Diceros bicornis minor: one gene and its partners. The protein of the gene in region 2 interacts with the protein of the main gene of each other region in a biochemical or structural test. Links are inferred from orthologs where the notes say so. Each region holds a gene or a part of one and is shown on either strand. Other genes may lie near its edges. The genes, in order: FNBP4, KHDRBS1 and FGR.

Region 1 (7,241 bases), on a different chromosome or scaffold from region 2:
ACAAGAAGTAATAGCCTTCTAAGTGTGGAGTAGGACTACAAAAGGACACATTTCCATATGGAAAAATCTGCACTTCAGTATTCAGCGCTGACGGTTTTTTGAGGGAGGAGGAAGAATGGGGAATTTATATTTTTACATAAAAACTCTTCTTAGTTTAGAGATAATCATAGATATAATCACCCACGTCATCAGCCTTAATTCTGTAACCTTTGGTAAAAGGTTCCAATCAGGTGAGCTGCATGGAATGTTGACAAAATTCCCCAAGCAGGGGTAATTCCCCAGGCTCAGAGTGCGTCTCACAGGCACCAGGTTTATTTAGCCAAAGCTCCACCTGTTTCCTTTTTTCTTCCCCTCAGAGCTTTTCAAATTACACACATCAAACTTCTTCCAAGCTCCTAATAACATAATGACTATTAAATAGCAAAGTAAATGAAAATGATTAAATATTTGGGGGAAACAGTCATACTTAATATTGTTAGAGACACTACAGATTCAGTATTTCTTAACAAAACTCTTCAAGTTTCTCTTAGCTAGGTAATCCCATCTTTAGGAATATAACCCCAAGAATAATTCAAAAAAATTTGTTTTGCACAAAACTTCTAGTAGCCTTATTTAAATAACTGAAAGCTGTAAACAACTCAAATGCTCTCAAATAACGGACAAAGCAAATTACAGCACAGTACGTGATGCAGTATTATTTTATGATTAGTCAGACCATTATAGGATTATAGGAAATAAGCTAAGGAGACAAAAAAGTAATCTTAAAGATTAAAAGCAAGTCATGAAACGCATATAAATTCTAATTACACCTCTGAAAATTTAGTCCATACATTGATAAGGGACAGGCATGAATTCAGAATAACACTGAAAATAAATGTTCACAATATTACGTAAAATTGCTTAATCTTAGAAAAATAAACAAAAGCTTCACAGGACCATACCCTAGACTACTACTGAGATGATGCTGCTTCTTGAAACCAGAGGAAGCAAGACCACTCTTCAGAGCCACAGTCCTTAGCAGTCTTTTTTTGAGGGGTGCCAACTCCTCAAACCTCAGTTTGCTTACCTTAAAAGATGGTGCCATACAATTTGCAAATCAACTAATTATATTAGGCAGTAAATTATTTCTTAGGTATGTACCTTACTTTCCTAATCAGCTTCCAACAGTAACAGTAACTGTCTTATACTTCTAGTAACTCTATCATTTCCTCATAACATTGTTTGAATAGTGGTTTTTAATCTTTTCGGTTACTTGATCATAGAAACAATTAACATTCAATAAGATAAAAGCTATGGACCCTCTCCCAGGAAAACATACTTTAGTGTGCCATTGCAGGAGATTCAGAGACCTCTGACACCCATCTGTGGAAAGCTAAGTACCCTTTTCTAGAAGATGCTTAAATACTGTTGACTATCATAGTCGTCTATTGACCTAATTTAATAGCTTACTCTGAATTTTTCCTGAAATAATTTCACATGCATACACCATAATATTTTTCACCATAATAATATGCTTGCTCTACCATATTTATAAAAGCATACTTTAACAACTTAAGACTTTTATTTCATTTTTGTGGAAAGAAATCTGGCATGTTTCTAGTGATGAAGATAAAATCCTTTAACTAAAATCATCTTAAAAAAATAAGGGCCAGCCTAGTGGTGTAATGGTTAAGTTCACGCCCTCTGCTTTGGCGGCCCAGGGTTTGCGGGTTCAGATCCCAGGTGTGGATCTATGCCCCGCTCGTCAAGCCATGTTGTGGCGGCATCTCACATACAAAAAATAGAAGAAGACTGGCACAAATGTTAGCTCAGGGACAATCTTTCTCAAGCAAAAAGAGGAAGACTGGCAACAGATGTTAACTCAGGGCCAATCTTCCTCACCAAAAAAGAAAGAAGAAAAGAAAAAAACAGTCAATTCTAGAGTATCTACTCTAACAGTTACCCAAATATGCAAATAATGGAAAATTGTTTCCCTTTGATTTTTATTTGACACGTTTTCTTATCTATTATACCAAGTGGCAGGTAAGAACTGAATAAAGCCAATACATTGTTCTGTTGCAGGATGAAGTTAAACAGAATAAAAACATTCTGTTCACAAGGCACATAAAGGCCTGAAGCACTCAACGACATGGCAATCATGGAAATTTCTCCAAGGAACATTTAAATTCTACCCATCTTACAGGATTCTTAGAAGAGTTTAATGAAATAATATATGTCGTTTACAAATAGAAAACGGTATTTTCTCATTCTGAAATTTCTCTCACAACCAAGTTTTAGCTTTTCTAACCCACACTGGTGTTTTTGTTCTGGTTTTTTTTTTTTTTTTTTTTTTTTGTGAGGAGATCAGCCCTGAGCTAACATCCGCCAATCCTCCTCTTTTTTTGCTGAGGAAGACGGCCCTGGGCTAACATCTGTGCCTATCTTCCTCCACTTTATATGGGACGCCGCCACAGCATGGCTTACCAAGCAGTGCGTCGGTGCGCGCCCGGGATCCGAACCAGCGAACCCCGGGCCGCCGCAGCGGAGCGCGCGCGCTTAACCGCTTGCGCCACCGGTCCGGCCCCTCTGTTTTGTTTTTTTAAGCAGCAAATTGAAGGAGGGGAGAACAAGCATTTACTATTTCAGGTGTCATGTAGTATAAAAGTACTCCAAACTAAATAGAATAAAATCACTACCAATTACAGAATATTTGTATCAAAACATATTTTAATCTTTCAAAATCTTTAAAGAGTAGAGAAAACTAACATTCTTGGACTCGCTGTGTCAGAACGTTGCATACACTATTCAATTTAATCTTCAAAATAACGTAGGGCTGTAAAACCCATTTTACAGATGAATGAAGTCCCGAGGTCTTAAGAGTGAATGCTAGAGTGGTGATTTGAAGCCAGCTTTGTCTATAACACCACTACTGACAATATTCCTCCATGCTTAAAAAAATATTTAATAAGAGCAATATTCTGCTCCACAAACATTTGCCAAGTAATAATCAAAGCAGTGTGTTAGAAAAGAAATGGAATAAGAAGACATCGCTCGTGTCCCTAAAGAAAGCAAGCTAGCTGAGGAGCCAGAAAACTAGTTATAAAATAGCATTACAAGAAAAGACAGTACAAAGTGCACTGGGTACAGAGAAAAAGCAACCACAAATTTTACACTGGTCAAAGTGTGTGTACTAACAAGCCCTCACAAACAGAAAGATTTTAAATCTCCATTTAAAATATAACAAATGGGCCGGCCCCGTGGCTTAGCGGTTAAGTGTGCGCGCTCCGCTGCTGGCGGCCTGGGGTTCGGATCCCGGGCGCGCACCGACGCACCGCTTCTCCAGCCATGCTGAGGCCGCGTCCCACATGCAGCAACTAGAAGGATGTGCAGCTATGACACACAACTATCTACTGGGGCTTTGGGGGGAAAAATAAATAAATAAAATTATTAAAAAATAAATAAATAAAATATAACGAAATTTATTTATATTCCAAATATGAATCAGCAACACTGAAGCATTCGACAAAAGCACTCTATATACAAACCTAAATATTGGAGAAAAGATGCAAAAAACAAAACAAGCTATACCTGTTGCTTTGACGGCTGTGGGTCTGGTGGTCATGACTGGTTTTGGAGGATTCTGAACAACTCTGGGAATCTCCACCACCACCTCCTGTTCATCTGGATTTAACGAACAGAAAAAAACTACCGTCAGACGATGGACCCGAGACAACACTACAGGTGACAAAACAATCCTTGATTTGACCTTTCAAGTTTAGATGCCATCGATTGAAAAACAGGGTGTATAATCCATCAGTGACCCAAATAATTGGGAAATGATAAACAAGTAGCTGGAATCTTCCATTTCGTTAGGGACTTTAAGAACCTGAACAGCGCATATAAAAATTCCATCTGAAATAATTCAAAAAAAAAAAAAAATACACACACGAAAGCTCCAGGCTGCCATCGGGCCTTGACAACAGGCAGGGCTGGAGCATTTTTCCCCGCAACAGCTACCCAACGTGGTTTGTTTTTTTTATCAGAAATGGTCGCAGCGATGAATAGTTACTCTTAACGCAAGGACCATTCCGCGGAGAAACACACAAGGACTCGGGACCCCACGAGCTCCACTTCTCCAGGAATCTCGGGGACACCTGCCCATTTGGGGCTCCTTATGCTCTGGCTGGCATAATCAAGAGTCCACTCATTTCTAAAGGGTCTCTTTCAGTTTCGACAAAAACGAAAGGAAGAGCAGGTGACGTGTAGAAAGGGCCAGGGTCCTCTGTCACCAAGCCTCGGACGCGGAAGCTCAGCCCGTCACACGCACCCCTAAGTTACCCCAAGGCGCGCGCGGACGCAAAGGAGACCAGGAGACTCGGGCAACTCCTGCAGCAGAGATGGCGGCACCTCAGGGTCGCTCGCGGCGGCGCACACGGCTCCGCGGCCCCTTCCGCCGCCCTGGGGCCCACAGCCGTCGTCCCGCAGGCCCCGCGCAGCAGGCCACGGGCGCGGACGCCGCCCCGCCCGGGCTTCTCTTCCTCCCAGGGCCGGCCCGCGAGGCCTAGGCCGCAAGCCCCGAGTTCGAGTTTCGGCCGCCCCACTAGCGGCCGGGGCCTCTGGCACACCCTCACCTTCTGAAGGCGAGTCGTCTGGGGCCGCGGCGGCAGTCACCGCGGTCGTCGTGGTCGCCGGCGCCGCCGGGGCTGGCTGGCTGGACGCCGCCGCCGTCGAGTCCGGCTCGGTGTCGGGTTCCGGCTCCGGGTCCCGGCCCGGCGTGCTGCTCCGGGGACCCGGCGGAGAGAGCTGCAGGATGGGCCTGCGGCCGGGTACCGCCCGGGACTTCTTCCCCATCGCGAGCCCGAGCGCGAGCCGCGAGCGTCGGGCAGCCGAGAGGGGCGGGCGCTCGGCACGGCGCTGCGTAATCAATATTCATGCGCCGCAACACCGCCTCCAGCGACCATCCGCTTTTGACCGGCCGAGCGCGCGTCCGCGCAAGCGCCTTGAGCCCCCTACGCTCTTCTGGCTCCTCCCCCCGAAGGAGAAGGGCGGGCTTTACCTACGGCGCTAGGCGATTGGCTATTTTGACCCATGGAAGGAGCCAGTAGCCAATGGAATAGGAAAAAGAATGAGACGCAAGCCAGTAGTGCGGAAGGGCCTCAGTATAGAATGGCCCCTCGTTACCTCGGGCTCCACCCATGCGTTTTTTGCGGAGTCTTCTCTTTATCTCCTTGTCGTCCATCTTGTGTCTGTTCTCGGCTAACTCTTCATTGTTGTTTGGCTTCTTGGTTGCTGCGCTGCTTTCCCGGCTCTTCCGCAAGCTTCGCCCTGGTTATTGTGCCTTACTTTGGGTATAACACTGTATATTAAATAGAATAGTGGGTCTTTTATGCGTTTGCAGATTTTTTCTTAGAGCACAAAGATGATGTCTCGTATTATGCTGCTTATCAGCTGGAAAAAAATCACTAGACATTATACTGCATATGAGGAAAAAGCCTAAGTTGTTGCGAGGGGATACAAGAGCCTTCCCGATCTGGCCCTCTGGTATCCCCAGCCTGCTTTATTAGATTTATCTTCTTTTAGCAGTCTCCCCTGCCCTGCTCCCCTCATCTCACCTCTGGAGCCGGCCACGTGGAGCATCATCTCCCGTCTTCAGTCCTTCACATTAGCTGAAATAACTACTGCATCACGTGGCGAAATAATTCTCATTCCTCAAGACCCGGTGCAGTCATTACTTTCTGAACCTAATATCTCAATGCCAAGCCCCACCCCAGCCCTTGAGCTTAAGAAAAAATCCAGTGGGAGTCAACAATATTGTAATAACTTGTTGTGATGACGGATGGTTATTAGTCTTATCAGGGTGATCATTTTATAATGTAAATAAATGTGAAATCACTATATTGTACACTTGAAACTAATATGATGCTGTATGTCAACTATACTTGAAAAAAAAAAAGGAAGAGGAAGAAATTCAGTGTATTTATATCCCCAGTGTCTAATTCAGTTCTTACTAGAGCATACTAATAATGTCTAACATTTATTGAGCACTTACTGTGTGTCAGGCACTGTCTTAACGCTTTACATGTAAAATTGCATTTGATTCTTACAACAACCTTGTAAGATAGATATTATCCCTAATTTATAGATGAGCCCTCAAATTGGTTGTTGGATACAAAAGCCGTGAAAGCAGAGACTTGTCTGCTTTGTTCCCTGTATATCAAATGCATTTTCTGAAACATAAGCACTTGAAGCTGGGTACCTGAGGGTCACTGTAGATACTCAACAAGAACATGATTGCCAGGGCCAGCCCGGTGGCGCAAGGGGTTAAGTGTGCGCGCTCTGCTGTGGCGGCCCGGCGTTCGCAGGTTCGGATCTCAGGCGCATACCCACGCACTGCTTGGTAAGCCACGCTGTGGTGGCGTCCCCTATGAAGTAGAGGAAGATGGGCACAGATGTTGGCTGAGGGCCACTCTTGCTCAAGAAAACAAGGGGAGGATTGGCATCGGTGTTAGCTCAGGACTAGTCCTCCTCACCAAAAAAAAAGAATTTGATTGCCTTTCGACCATCTTCCCAACATAGACGTAGATGAATTTTGTCAAATTGCTGTTTTCTTGTTTAACCTGAGGGGTGACTTAGGGGTCTGGAGGATTTGTGCACTTGTTTTGCAGAAGAAAAAGAATGCCTTTGGGGAGGTTGTGATCGCTGATCCCCAGATGACCAGCCCCCAGCTGCCTTTGATGGCCAGAAGTCAGATTGCCCAAGGGCTTCTCTGGAGTGAAAGGTGTTTCTCTGGAACTCCTTGTGCCAAGCCCCTTAGCTCTACAAACCACCCCCCTGCTTTCTTCTCTTGTTAAGGTGGATTTGAGAGAACCCATCCTCCCGCCTTCCTGTTTTGGCCAGTTCCAATAAAGCCTTTTTCCATCTCCAACCACCAACGGCTCAGTGATTGGTCTACTGCACATTGGGCACAAGAACTTGAGAATAAGTGGTTCAGTATCACCCAGAGTTTTTAAATGAATATAGTGTATGAATATATACAAACTTGAAATAAGTAGCAAGAGTTCTTTCCTTGTCTTTCCTATGGGAGGAATACCTGGATTATGTCCTGAGATTAGACTCCTAAGATTTCTGAAAAATTAACAGCTCGAAGGGGAGGGACAATTTGCTATTTGGAAGCCATTAGCAATTTTCAGATTTATTTCTTGAAGGGAGCGGCATTGAAATATGGTAGCTGTGCTTAGGATACAGCTGTGCATCAAACATCT
Region 2 (7,241 bases):
TGTAAATAAAATAAAGCAATGAACTATTTTGAAGTTTCAACAAACTTTGTAAATGTTCTCCATTTACAAAGAAGATGGATTTCGGAAGATGGATTTCTGAGTATCCTTGCAAGATCTTCTGCAGATTACCTTAATCTATTCAAAACGTTTACTTATTCCTGAGTCATTTATACTAACTTACATTTTCCTAATTATAGAAAGTAGAAAAAGAACACTGATATACATAAAAGCATTTCTGTGTGTTATATAAATATTTAACACAAAAAATAAATTACTTTTGTTTCATAAAACAAGCATGGGTACCCCAAGTCCTTGCACGTCTGTGACTTCATTTAACTGTCATCATAGTTGAATATCAACTTGGCTAATATAGAAGTCTATATTCAAAATCTAAATCTCTCAGAATTGTGTTGATAGTTTTCCATCATGCAACGAAGAATATTTATTTATCAAACATCTAGTAAGAGGCCACTCTGTGTGGCCCTCTTCAAGGAACAGGAGATACAGCAGTGAACAAAGCCGACAAAAGATCCCTGCCCTGGTGCCCTGGTGGACATTCTAGCCATGAAGGAGAAGGGGCAGTCAACAAACACACATAACTAGAATATATGGTGCATCAGATGCCGATAAGTGCAAAATAAAGTAAAGCTGGGAAAGGGAGAGAGAGAGCTGTGTGGCTAGTAAAGGAAGAGTCATCTGGGTCTTGCGGCACCTCTTGGGAAATGGGCAAGTCACAGTGCCGAGTGCTAGGCTCTGCTCGCTGAGTTTCCTCCTTTTTCTGTATCTCCGCCTTGTCATCTTCACTGCCCTGTTAGCTAGCACTCTCATGCATTCAAATAGATTTTCTTTTAATATTTTGTTCAACTGGTACAAAATACTTTAAGTTCAATTTGTTACAGGTACTGTAGTGGGCATGGAGAGGGTTAGGTGTGTAGATCCAGACTTGGACTGACTTCAAATCCTAGTTATGCTGCTTACTAATTTTGTTACCTTAGGCAAATTATTTAATCTCTGTGTGCCTTGGTTTCTTCATCCGTAAAAGTGAGGATAAGATAACTTCTTCATAGTATTGTCATGAAGACTAAATATTTGATGTAAAGTGCTCAGACCAGTGCCTGGCACAATAAATGTTAGCTATATTGTTATTACATGTATCCTTATCAGAGCTTAGATACCACTATTCTGTCTTCTCAGAGTCTCACTTCCGCACAGTTGGTTGACTCCACTGCAACCCCTTCTCCAGATCATTCAAAAATACCTTAAAAGCTAGGTCCAATATATGTCATGACTTATCCATGCTAAGAAGTATCCATACACTCCAAATCTGTTCTCTCAATAAGCCAGCATTACCTTAATCCCATTTCTCCAATTAAAATTTCAGTTTGGTTAAAAAAAAAGACATCAAAAAAGCCCAAGTTAAAAAAATTAAACAGCACTCTCTCGTAACAGAAGTTAAGCAGTGAGAGAAGCGTGAGAATTATAAGTAACTTTTAAGGATCAATAGTTTTTGATGGTTATCCTAAGAAACCATGTTTTACTTAAAAGACAAACACCACATTGGGCACTTGATGTGGTCAGAAAGGCAAAAAATATCTTGTGTTTTCATACCTTTTTCAGAACCAGGGATTTACAACTAGAAGAAAACTGTGGTGACAAGTTATTATCTATTGACAATAGGTCAAAAGGCCAAAGAGAACTGTGCTGGTGCTTTTAAACATCATTTAATCCTCACAACTCACCATCCCACTTTACAGATGAGGTTACTGAGGTTCAGAGTTTCCTAAGAGTAAGTAACTAGTTAATGGTCAGAATTTCAAAACCCAAGCTGACATCTTAAAGTTCAAAGGTGTGTTATTCTGTTTTCATTCTTTTAATCTGGACTGATTAAAGATTTGAGGAAATAAAAATTAGACTACCGAATCGATCTTTACCATTTAGTCTGACATTCCTAAATCTGCATGTATTTGCTTTCAGATTCAAACACCTGGTGTTTGCTATATTCAAGGCAATAAGAAAAATACCAAGATAAAAGGCAATCCTTGCCCTCAAAGAGCTTGCCAGAAGAACACAATGAACACTAATGTTTCAAACAATCTGTGTTACAGAACAGCAAAACCCTGAGTTGAAAATGTAAGCAGTTTATCTAAATATTCTTATTCTTGACCACTGCGTGCTTTGTTTATTGTGTTTAAAAGTAAAGACCCTTTACCAATGTTGGGGGCTAGAGAACAAAGAGAGGGAAACGATATTTTCATAACCATCTGTCCATTATATCAACCTTGCCAAAGAGTTCAACTACTCATTCAGTGTTGAGAGTTGTGAATTTTTACTTGCTTAATAAAATTTAGGTATCATAACAAATACTTATTAAAACGTTTTAACTAAAAGTGCGAGGAAAACAGGCGGCTTTACGGAGAAATCAGAGCGACTAGGTGATTGGCCAGTGCTGAGCAGGAAAGGAGCGCTAGCCCACAGACAGAGAACAAAGACTACTATTCCTAATCTATTTCACTCCCGAAGCCAAAAGAAAAAAACTAAAAACACCAAGCCTTTCAGGTAGAAGCATCGTGCAACTTCTTTCAATTTCTGTCCACCTCACCGGAAATACAAATGCAAACCACCCTTTACCTCCCTCTAACCATCCGATTTCACTGTCTCTAGGGTTATTTTTCCCCTTCTTGAATGATGAACACACGTTGTAAAATAAAGTGATCCAAACTTCCGGCTCTGTAGCAATTATCATTTTATCCGCCTAAGTCGGAAATCTGATTCGGAAAACATCAAGCTCCAATTCCCACAGGTTGCTCCTGCCTCCAAGCAACTTAAGCGTCAATTACCGCTAAGTCCGACCCGCCCCTGCGACCGCGGCGCGCTGGACAGGGCACTTCAGCCTCACCTCGCCTCACCTCGGCTTTCCCACCCACCGTCCCTCCTCACTCGGGCTGTCTTCACCTCCTACACCCTCACTCGGGGCGCCTTCCGCCACCCGAGATCAAAAAAGCTTTCCCTTTGGGGGGAAGGGGGTGATAAAGGCTCATTTCTGGAAGCATCTGAGCACCAGGAGCGCGGGGCAGCTGCGAGAGGTGGGAGGGGGAAGGGTCGGCAAGGGGGCGGGGAGCTCAGCACTATCCATCCAGATCTTTGAGATCGCCAAGTCCCCTTCGGGCCTCCTCTGCAGCCTAGAAACTCCCCCTCGCACCCTGGGCCGGGACGGGAATGTGGAATCCAGGCTCCCCAGAATGAGGATGAGAGAAGAAGGGGAGTTCACGCCTGCCTTGGTCCCGAGGGGGAGGGATGCGAGCGGAACAAAGCCGCTGCCACCCGTGCCCCCGGGTGGCCTGGCGACCCAGAGGGACCCGGGAGGCCGGCTCACCTGCGGTCAGCAACTGCATGGCGTGAGTGAAGGACGGATCCAGCGAGTCCTTCTCGGCCATAAGTTCGGGGAGGTACTTGTTCTCCGGCTCCATCTTGACCGAGGCAGTGGCTGAGGGGGGCAGCAGCGGGGTCGGCGCCGGACCTCCCACTGTCGCGTCGGGACCCGTGGCCGAGGGCGGCAGCAGCGGTGGCGGCTGCGTGGCGGGCGAGGCCCGGGCGCCCCCCCGGGACCCCCCTCCGCCTCCCCGGGACCGGTGAGGCAGCGGCGGCTGCCGAGACGGCGCCTGACGCACTGAGGGGTGGGCACCGGAGGGGTCCATGGAGCCGCTGCGGCCCGAGGACCGGCTCATGCGCGCGGCGGGGTCGTCCCGGCGCTGCATTGGGGAGGATGTGCGATCGAGGGATCGAGGAAGCGACGCGGCAGCGGCGGAGGCCCGAGCGGCGGTTGGCGGGGGTGGGAGAGCGGGAGCGACGGCGACCGAAGGCGACCCGACCGACCCAGCGAAAGAGAGCACCGGAAATGAGGCGGCGCGCGTGCGCAGCCAGCCGCCGGCACCGCCCTTGGGTCTCTCCGCGGAGAACAAAGTCCCCGGTCGGGCCACAGCGCTTGCGCACCGCCGCGGAGCCCGAAGAAGTCGCCTCCCCGCTCCCCTTTTTCCTCCGAGCCCGCCAGGCCAGAGCTCTGTGCGCGTGCGCGGGTGGCCGCGGGCTTCGTTCGTTTTCTTTTCCACGTGACTCGGCGCTAGCGGGACACGTGTCTCCTCCCCCTTCTGGCCGAGTGCGCGGAGGGGCGGGGGCTGTGGAATGTCTTTGTCTGCGCGCGAGCCCGCAGAGTGTGGGGGGGGAGACCTGTTACTCGCGGGGCCGCGCCCCCTCCAACGGCTGAGCCGCCGAGCCGGGCTGTGCTCAGTGGGGGGATGGGGGGATGGGGGGTGGGGGGGTCGGGCGAGGGGGGCGGTCTCTAAAGTATGGAAATGAAAGGAGACCCGCCTGGGAAGGAGAGAAAATTGAGGCCGTCTAGGCAGGAGGAGAGGAACAGACAGGGCGCAGGGGAGACTAGGAGTGAAAAGGGGACGACTAAGGGAGAGTCTGACGCAGGGATGAGGGGTGGAGATGGGGAAAGGAAGCTTGGAGGAGCAAGTGAGGAAGGACGGGTCAGTGGGAAGACCGAAGGCTATTGCAGGACTTGAACTAAGAGGTAAGGTTCAGGTAGGAGACCTGAAATCTAGCAAAGGGCACCAGACCAAAGCAGGGAACCCAAGAAGTCGTATCCTATGGTTTCCAGTATAAAAGGCTCTAAAACATTTGCCATTGTTGGTCAGAGAAGTCTTAAAAGATGAAGCATTTTAGCTCTTTACGTATAGTACTGCTTTCTGCTGACTTGTGTTTCTTCCGCAAAAAAGTGGGGTAGAGACCAGGTCCTTAATCCCTGATGGTTGCATCATTAGGGTGGCTCTTTATACGGATGTGAGTGCTAATCCTGCCTTTGTTGGGCCTTCACAATGGATCGTTCCAGACTTGCTCAAAGAGACAGACCCTTACTACTGCTCTAAAGGCCAAGGTATATAGCGGACAGTCTCCCACAGCATTCTCCTCATCCCTCGAGTGCTATATGCAAAAGGAGCTTACGTCTCTACTGTCCCATAAAGGCTCAAGAGAGCTGGTGCCTTCTCTAACCCTTCCTTCCCTCCACAGATTTTTGCTTCCCCCATTCAAAGCACTCACTCCCATCCCTTTTCCTTCTGGATCAGTTCCTCTAATAAGCCCAGGCTTTTCAAAAGCATTTCTGGAAATTGTCCTCTGGGTGCCTGGAAACTGTTGATATTTGGATCTGAAACTTAGAAGCCTTCAACTAGAGAACATTAAGGCCTGGCTACCTTCTTGGGGACGGGGGAGAGAAATCATCCACAGAAATGAGAACAAAACACAAGTATCTCCATCAGTTATCACACATGTATTATACATATGTATTTCCAGTGTGTGGTGCAGTACTGTAGTTTAAGATCACATAGGTAGTTTATAGTCAAGTAGGAGAAAAAAAAAAGAATGTTTTTGAATAATTGGAATGAAAAATGTAATGTGACAAATGCCAAAAGATAAGTGAATATTAAGTGCGATTGCAGCTCAAAGCGGAAGATAGATTTCGGCCAGGGGAGAATGAGTTCCAGCAGAAGGGAAGTGTGAATAAATGAGCAGAGACGTGGGTAAGGAATGGGAGTCGTAATCCAGTTGTGGACTGTGAAGAAATAGGTGGGTGGATAGAGCAAATGCATGGAGGAGGGGAAAGGGGGCAAGGAGGATTTATAGCTCCGTTGCAACTCATTTCTGCTGCTATCCTTGAAAATCCTGCTTGGGTGGTGGTGTTACAAATGGCTGAAGTGTCCTTGCTCTGTAATGAGATGCCCAGATGGAGGTACCTTGAGCTGAGGCTAATAAAACTTTGATGAAGAAGTGTCTGAGAAGGAGCTGGGTAGTGGTATCTGTGGGTATCTAGACTAAAATCAGCAGTCTTTCCAGATGGCTGTCAAACCTTTTGCTTAGTTTCTCTGAGGGTGGGGTCAAGGGGAGCTTTGAGCTCTTCTTCTTGGTGAGATACACAAAAGGTAATCTCTGAGGCAGGTGATGGGTTGCTGAGGCTGCGATGTATTTACCAAGTCAGTAATGCAGCAGCTTTCCATTGTGGGGGCCCTTCCCGGGGGCAGGGAAGAGTAATTCCCACCTTGAAAGTGTAGAGTTCATTTTGTGTTGACCATGGTATGCTGCTCCAGGTTCACCTGAAGGTATTAACAGCATGGCCTTGTGAAATGACTCTGACTTTGGAGTGAGGCAGACAAATTCAAATTCATCAGTGCCTTGTCCTTGCTGTATGTCATTGGGAAAACCACAACCTGAGCCTTTATAGTGGACGTACTGACATCTACCTTGCAGAATTGTTGTGAACATTGACAAAGACCAGTGTAAACCTCCTCACAATTGGGCTTATAAGCAGAAGTAATCATTATTATTGTGCCATTTAGTTATGCCTAATGAAGATTTTTGGTTGCTTCATGTTGGGTGTGGATCTGCAAGGCCTGCTCTCTAATCTGTCTCATTTTCACTGACTATAGCTTGACTTTGTTTTGGAGGGGGGAGGTTCCGAAAAGACTAAGTTTCTTCTACCCTATTTCCTCTCATAGTTTAGTTACTATGGTGTAGGATGCAAGAGCAATTGAGAGCATAGTGATTTAGATGGAGTGAGGTCCGAAGCTGGCTCTTAGACCTCTTACCTGCTGAGTGATTGAGCACATTGCTTAACCGTGCTCAGCCTCTGCTTCCTCCTCCTTGATAAAACAGAAGTCATAACAATACCTAGCTCAGGGCTGTTAGGATTAAAAGAGATAGTGTCTGTAAAGCACTCAGCACAGAGGCTGGCAGTTAGTGGGTACTTGATAAACGATAGCGGCCATTGTTATTCTTGCTACACACAGATTTATTGAGTACCCTATTGCAGACTTGCACTTTCATGTGAGTCTCTAACTGACGGGCTGAGAATACTCAAAATTTGCCTGTTGCTGCTGGACCTGTGTGATCTCCACCAGTGGAGGATCTGCAGGCCCTGCCTATGTCTCCTGCTTTGCAGCCAGTTCCTGGGAGAAGGGCTCCAGCCCTGGACAGGAGTTTCTCTTCCAAGAGTGTAGTTCATCTGTTCAATCTTAAACACTTACTTGGTGCCAAACATGTGGAGGATAGAGAAGGAGACAGGGAGACCAAGATTAAACATTTTACAATTTTTTCTAAGGTTTTTTTTTTGTTGCAAAACCATATACTTCTAGGGGCTGGCTGGGTGGCATAGTGGTTAAGTTCTCGAGCTCTACTTTGGCGGTGCA
Region 3 (7,241 bases), about 3.7 Mb from region 2:
CAAAGGAGAACTATGAGGACTGACAACAGAATCTAAGCGGGTGGAAAACAGAAGTGAGAGCAGGAGGAGAGTGATGGTTAGATTGGAAGTGGATGGGAGGCCTCAGCAGGCTTGCTGGGCTTTGATTTTTGGTTTGGGTATCAGTTATCAGAATTGATTTAAAGGAGCACGGGAGCACGGAGGCTGGAAGGATAGCGGGGGATTTCAACAGGCCCCTCCGTGGCCTCTTTGCCCTGTGCCCACCAGTCTCCTGTAAGAGCAAGTGCCACATAGGGAGCAACTGCCACGTAGAGGGCAAGGACTAGACCTGATTCCTTTCTGAGCCCCCGGCACCCAGCCTGACACAGAGTAGTGACAGGGAAGGCTCAAGGTTTGATTGAATGAACAAAATCAAACTTATGTGGCACTTACCATGTGCCAAGCACTAGTCTAACAGCTCATTGATTTCTCCCAAGACTCCTGTGGGGTGGGGGGAGGGGGGGGGTCTACTATTATCCCCATTTTACAGATGAGAAAACTGAGGCACAGAAAGGTAAAATAGTTTGTCCAAGGTGACGGAGCTAGGAAGAGGTCTACAAACCAGGCAGTCTAGGCCCAGAGTCTGTTCCTAACCACCAGATTATTCAGAATGGGTAAGTGAGAGTCATAGACTCTTTGTCCTGAGTGACGCCAGGTGTCTCTTGAGGTCAGACCCCTGATCTGGTCAAGAGAGATCCAGAGACAACAAACAATGAACTGAGAAATACACAATTCTAGATTGTGACAACTGCCATGAAGGAGACAAACTGGGTGCTGAGACCAAGATTGAGGGGACTTCCTTTGATGGGGTTGTCAGGGAAGGCTTCTCTGAGGAGGCAGCACTTTAGGTAAAAGAAGAAAGGAGCCAGTACTGTGAAGAGTAATGAGAAGAGCATCATAGGAAGAGAGAAGAGTGCGTGAGAAGACTATGAGACAAAAACTCAGTGTCTTCTAGGAACTGAAAAAGATTCCAGTGCAGGTGAAGAGGAAGATAGCCCCAGATAGGACTGGAGAGGTGGGCAGGGGCCAGGCACACAAGGCCTGGGATGCCATGACAAGGCATTTGGATTTTATTCTTCCCTATTATTATCTTATTTTATTTATTTTTATTATTCCAAGTGAAATGGGAGGTGAGCCAATAGACAGTTTTAAGCAAGGAATTTATGTGGTCCAATTTGTATTTTAAAAGCAGAAGCAGTGTTGTTCTTTCATTCATTTGCTTATTCAGTCATTGATTCTTGAATGTCTTCATTCATTCTTTAATTCTTACCTTCAATTATTTATTTTTTCATTGGGCTTTCATCTGTTCACCTGTTAATTCCTTTGTTCCTTGATGGATTCATGCATTCCTATGCCCAGAGAACCAGCTTCTCTGTGCCAGACACTGTGTGGGCACTGGGGGCATTGACAAGAACCAGACCTAGTTCTTGCCATTGAGGAAAATGTATCTCACACGCCCACACCCCAGGAACCAGGAAGAAGGTGCTGAGTGCTCTGCTGGGGATGGCGGTGCCAATCAGGGAAGGCTTCCTGAAGAGCCAGACCTTGAAGGATGACAGAAAGAAACTGATAGATTGAGGGGTCCCCCAGGGGCAGGCACCAGTCTCTTTCATATCTGTGTTCCCTAAGCCTGGCGCCTGACTGGCAGTGACAAATGTTTGTTTGTCAGTTGAACATGCAGACCAACGGCCGCTCAAGGGCTGCCTGATGGTGGAGGTGCTGGTGCCCAGCCAGAGGGAGACCACACTTCCCAAGTCCTTGCTCCTCCGCCTCACCCCCTGTGTCTTCCTCCCCATCCCTCCTCCCATTTTTCTAAGCGAAAAGCGTTCTTATCTGCATCCCACCGTTCTCTGCCATCCCACAATCACATTGGGACACACCTGAGCACACACACAGGCATTCACACACATCCCTGCTCATACATAGAAACACTTGAGCCTGCACAATGTGTCCCAGTTGTTGATTCCAAAATTGCAGTCATCGAGTTCATTGCCTACAATCACACACACACACACACGTCTGTGCTTACACACTCTCCATGCCTCCCTGCCGTATTCCAACACACATACTTCTCCACCAAACAGCCCTTGCACACGCATCTCTTCCTCCCCAGACAGGAGGAATTTTCCTGGTCCTTGGTTTAAGGCAGAAGCAGTAACAATGGCGGGAGGGGGTGTTGAATGCCAGGTTGAGGGGGGTCAGGGATCCCTGCTAGTTGGAAAGGCTGGAACTGTGATAGAGGATGATACTCAGTTTTTCTAAAACTTGGGTGTGTGTGGGAGGCTGACACCCTCCCCCTCCTTCAGTGTGGCCTGAGGGCTGATTCCTCTGAAAAGCAGTTTCCTAAGAGAGGGGTCTCCTGCTGCTCCCCACTGTCCATCATGCCCTGTCCCCAGTGCCCAGCCCCTGCGGATGGCAAGGCTTGGTGACTGGATCTGCAGTGGCTCTGGTGACAAGAGTCTGGGGTCAACCAACTGTGAGAACTTGGGTAAGGCTTGTCCCCATCTGGTCCTCAGTTTTCCCAGCTGCAAAAGGGGGGAGTGGGCTTCAGCAATAAAGAAAAGCCCCTCTTAACCTCAAATGCAATGATTCTAAATGAGAAGGTGCTTTTGAGAGTGAGGAACTTGCCCCCTTGTTGGGGGCCTTTGAGAAGGCTGTGCTGGGGGTTGAGGTCTGGGGGGTGGAGCTGGGGTGCAGGGAGAGGGCTGGGAGAGCCGACCCCCAGTAACCCGGGGGAGGCGGGAAGTGGGGGCGGGAGGGCCTGGAATTTGAGGGCCCCTCCCCGCCGCAGGCAGCTGGCTTGGGGCTGGGGCGTGACTGCGAGTTCTCCCCACCGCCGCCGCCGCCGCCGCCGCCGCCGCCGCCACCGCCGCTACTGCGGCTGCAATAAGAGAAGTCCAAGGCGGCTTCCTCCTCCCTGCCCTGAGGGGGCGGCGGTCAGAGGCGGGCAGCACCCCACTTCCCCCCACCCCACGTCGCCACTCGTGGCTGCTGGGAGCCCCGGCTGGCTCGTCCTGGGATCCATCAGGAGCGGCCTGCCCTGGGACCAGGTAGGCGGCCGTCAGGTGGGCTGGAGGAGCCGCGCGGTGCCCCGCCCCCGGCCCGCCCGCGGCCCCTGGGGGAGGGCTGGGGGGAGTCAGTCTGAACTTGGCGGGGAGAGCTGAGGGAGTCGAGGGTCAAAGCGGCCTCATCCCTAAAAGGACCTAAGGAGGAAAACTGAGAAGACCTGCAGAGTGAGACTGGTAAAATTTGGGGAGGGGGCTGAGGGAACATGGGGAAAGCAGACTAAAGGGATCCCCCAAAAAGCTCTGGTGGGGAAAACGGAGGGAAACCTGTAGAGTAAGATTGATAGAATTTGGGAAGGGGGCTGAGTCGGGGGAGAGAGACTAAGGGGACCCCCCCCAAAGGGGTTGGAGGAGAAATTGAGGGGACGTTGAAAGTGAGGATTTGGGGAGAAACTGAGGGCTCTGGAAGAGGGTAACTAGGTGGGGGGACTAGGAGGGTCAGGTGAGGAGGTCTCCCAAAGGGAGTCAAGGAGAACCATTTCTGGACGATGCAGAACGTGGGGCGCGATTCTGGGGGTCCTGGAAGTCTCCCTATCCCAAATCGGCAGAAATCAGGGGTGAAGCCAGTAGCGGGGATGCAGCTCCCTAGACCCTCCCGCCCCCTCACTGGTGGGCTGGTCCCGGATGGCGAGGGGACTCCTTCAAGGCGCTAAAGGCATGGTTCCCCGCTTCCTGGGGAAGACCCCGCCCTCAGCAGGGATGGGCCTCTCTGGGTGCCCCCTCTCCGCCCGCGGTGGCGGTCTCGGTCCACGTTCCCCTCGGGATCCGGGAATTGCTGGCCGCCCCGACGGAAATCCTGCCTTTGACCGCGATTGCCGGGAGGGGCTGTCTCCATGGCAACAAGAGGGCGGAGAGGCAGAACCCCGCGCTTGGCTGCAGTTGGGCGCATTGCCGGCGCAACCCATTTGGGTCCCAACCCCGCCCCCATTTGCGGTCCTTTGTTGGGGGCGGCTGCCCCACAGAAAAATAAGGCGATGATGCTCAGTGTTCAGGGATCCTGGGGTGGGGAATATGCAATCTCAGGGACTTAGCCAGACTGGCGCCTTGATTGCTGTGTGAGTTTAGGCAAGTATGGGGCTTCTCTGGGCCTCATTTTCCCCATTTGAATCATGGGGGGAAATGATCTCTGCCCCTGCCCAGCCCCCACGCCCCACCCCATCCCTAGTCAGGAGAATCAGGCAGAAAGCAGTTTTTGCCGAGTGTCCTGGAGGGGTAAAGTGTTCTCACTGACCAGGGAGCCTCTCCTTCACCTTCCGGAAAGCAGGTAGGGGCACCACAAAGCCTGACAGGACCTCCTGGGACCAGTGCACAGTTGATATCTAATAAATAAATAAATGTTTGTGGATATATTGAGGGCCCATCCTGGGAAAGTCAGCAGGTTTTAGATCTGTCCCCAGCCCCCACGGTGCCACACCCAGTGATCCCTGAGTCTTTTGGCATCCTTCCCTCTGTGGTGGTGGTGGGAGAGCAGAGCTCTGTTCCCACTTCACAGATGGGAAGATGGAGAGTCACTGACAGGGCAGGCAGTAGGGACTTGGAGTCCAGGGCATCTTGTCCGTGATGTGGTGAGGAAGGTAGCCAGAGCTGAGGCCTTAGTTCTCTCCTCATCCCTACCAAACCCCTTGTAGCTCTCTGGGAGGGGAGAGAGTGAGAGAGAAGGTATGGAGTTCATGTCATGGGCTTCATGCTGGCTCCTGCTCCATGGTGGGCATGGAGCTGTGAGTGAGGGTGTGAGTGTTTGTGAGTATGGTTCGGGCTTTGAGTGAAGGAGCATGAGCGTGTGAGCATATGTGTGGGTGTTCAGGTGTTCTCTGCAGCCACCTGGGGCTGATGTAGCAAAGGAAGTGGCCAGACCTTGAGAGGCTTGGTAGGGGGACCCCAGAGCTGGGGAAGAAGGAGACAGAGCCCTTTCTGCACAGAGCAGACCAGGCTGGCCTATGATGGGCCCCGGGGAGGGGGCTTCCTGTCTGGCCACACTGTGGAATCTAGACTCCTGTTCTCTCAGCTCTCCCTGGACCACCCATGGCTCCCATCTCCCAAGAGTCTTGAATCCCTAAAGACCTCTGTTTTAGAGGCTGGTGGGTGAGTTTTCAGCAACAGATGAGAAACCACTTTTACCTATAAGAAGTGGAGAAAATTCAGCTGACACTCCCAGACCATGTGGAAGGTAAAGCCAGTGTGGCATGGATAGGCCACCTCTCCCCCCCTTTCTTCCTCCCCTCTGCCCTCAACACACCTGGCCCCACCAGTGTGGTAGAGTCAGACTGGGGTATGTCTTCTTAGCCCCTGGGTGTTCAGGGGTAGGAGGTTGGAAGGCTTCAAGAAAGGATGGTGTGCGATGATTGGAGGTTCAGTGAGAAGTAGGGGCTTCAGTGAAGGAGATGAGGGCTCAGTAAGGGCACTGGAGTTCAGTGAGGTGCAGAGTCTCTGAGAGTGAGGGATGGAAGCCTTCAGTCAGGAAAGTCAGGTCTTGGTGAGGGATGGGTGCAATTGGGCTGAGACTTGTGCCCTGCCCCTGGCCAGCCCAGAGCCCTGAGGAGAAGCCGGAACTCTTGCAGGATGGTGGTTTCCTGCCACTGCCCAAAGTCCCAGTTCCCTTTTGGTGAAATCCCCCAGGTGGCTGGGCCAGCTCAGCCCTCCCACCTCACCCTGGGAACTTCTCTTTCTTCTCAGCCCTGCCACTCCCCCTCCCTTGGCCTTGGAGGGGCCTTCCTCAAGGGAAAGGAGCAGAACTGAAAGTTCACTGAGCACCTACTCTATGCCAGGTGCTTTCAGGGGCTTGACCGCGTTAGATACTCAGAAGCAACCCTATGAGGTAGAGATTTATATTCTTATTTTCTAGGCAAAGGAACTACAGCTCAGAGAGGTGAACTCATTTGCCCAATGTCTCAAGCTAGTTGTCAGGCCAGGTAGAATTTGAGCCTAAATCTCCAGATCCCACAGATATTTGGCAGGGGTTGCAGGGAACAAGACATCCTGTGTGTACATCAAAGCCCTGACATGGCTTTGGGAAGTGTGGACCTCAAGAAAGGATGGGTGGGCCTGGGGATCCTGTGTCCAGGAGTAGGGGTGTGCAGGAGGCAGGCTACCTGCTGAGTGGCCCGCTGCCATATGGCAGGAGTGGTATGTTCACTTGGTCAGGGACTGAGTAGGAAATATGACGTTCACCAGTCAGGGACAGCATGACCTCCTGCTCAGGCTGTGGGGAACACAGCCACAGTGCCAGGAACAGAACTCTGGACCTGAGTTAATAGTCCTGGCTTTGAGTCCCCTGTCTGGCTATTTGACCTGGAGCAAGCCAGTTCCCCCTATACGCAAGAAGAGGATGGACTGATAAGTGGTCCCTGGGGGCCAGTCTAGCTTTGCTGCTTGTGGTTCTCAGCCTCACTCGGCCACTGCACCCTGGGCAAGAGCCACGTCTCTTCAAATCTTCCCAACAACTGCACAGAAGGTACAGATGCCAAAACTGAGGCTCGGAGGGCTTATGTCATTCATCCAAAGTCCCAGAGCTAATACTATAGAGCTCGGTAGGGCCACACAGAGGGAGAAGTCGAAGGCAGGAGCACCATGGTCCAGCGTTGGACCTCAGCTCTGACACCCACAACCTGATTTTGACCCAGCTGAGGCTCTGGAAGTTGACTCCTATCAGCCGGATGTTTAAGAGGCATAGTCATAAACAGACCTGAGTGCCTACAGTGACAAGGATGCCTGTGGCCACTCTTGGAGCTGCCTCCTTTCTGGCGTTAGCAGGCAGCCAAGTTCAGCACTGAGAAAAAAGACCTGGATTCAGATTTGAGGGCTATGATAATCAGTGGTTGCCTGAGAGAACCTGGGCAGGTCACTTCCCCTCTCTGGGCTGTAATGAGGACTTAGAGCATGTAGCACAGGGCTTGGCACACTGTAGTGCTCATTAAGAGACACACATCTTGCTTCTACCAGGACGACAAAATAGAACAGTGCTTATGGTGGGCTTTGGAGCCAAATTGGTGGGGGTTGCCTTTTAGGTTTCCCTGACTCACTATGTAGTCTTGGGGAAATTACTTAACATCTCTGCGACTCTGTTTCCTTATCTGTAAAATAGGGGTAATCATAAAACTTAGCTCATAGGGTCGCTAAATGAGATCATGTAAGGGAATTGCTTGGCACAATGCCAGGCAC

What was found.
Region 1: the proteins of KHDRBS1 (region 2) and FNBP4 form a complex in vitro, tested with the Homo sapiens proteins (2 studies listed by BioGRID and IntAct, with this or other methods). The link is inferred for Diceros bicornis minor from reciprocal best matches to the Homo sapiens genes KHDRBS1 and FNBP4.
Region 3: of the proteins of KHDRBS1 (region 2) and FGR, one has a biochemical effect on the other in vitro, tested with the Homo sapiens proteins (2 studies listed by BioGRID, with this or other methods). The link is inferred for Diceros bicornis minor from reciprocal best matches to the Homo sapiens genes KHDRBS1 and FGR.

The regions. Positions count from the first base shown.
Region 1 is NC_080770.1:22,741,215-22,748,455, reverse strand, and holds the start of FNBP4 (formin-binding protein 4), read right to left. Parts: upstream 4,865-7,241; 5' UTR 4,831-4,864; coding exon 4,611-4,830; intron 3,661-4,610; coding exon 3,568-3,660; intron 1-3,567.
Region 2 is NC_080752.1:46,853,301-46,860,541, reverse strand, and holds the start of KHDRBS1 (KH domain-containing, RNA-binding, signal transduction-associated protein 1), read right to left. Parts: upstream 4,014-7,241; 5' UTR 3,756-4,013; coding exon 3,374-3,755; intron 1-3,373. UniProt on the Homo sapiens protein: Recruited and tyrosine phosphorylated by several receptor systems, for example the T-cell, leptin and insulin receptors. Once phosphorylated, functions as an adapter protein in signal transduction cascades by binding to SH2 and SH3 domain-containing proteins.
Region 3 is NC_080752.1:43,195,141-43,202,381, reverse strand, and holds the start of FGR (tyrosine-protein kinase Fgr), read left to right. Parts: upstream 1-2,886; 5' UTR 2,887-3,068; intron 3,069-3,166; exon of another isoform or gene 3,167-3,260; intron 3,261-7,241. UniProt on the Homo sapiens protein: Non-receptor tyrosine-protein kinase that transmits signals from cell surface receptors devoid of kinase activity and contributes to the regulation of immune responses, including neutrophil, monocyte, macrophage and mast cell functions, cytoskeleton remodeling in response to extracellular stimuli, phagocytosis, cell adhesion and migration.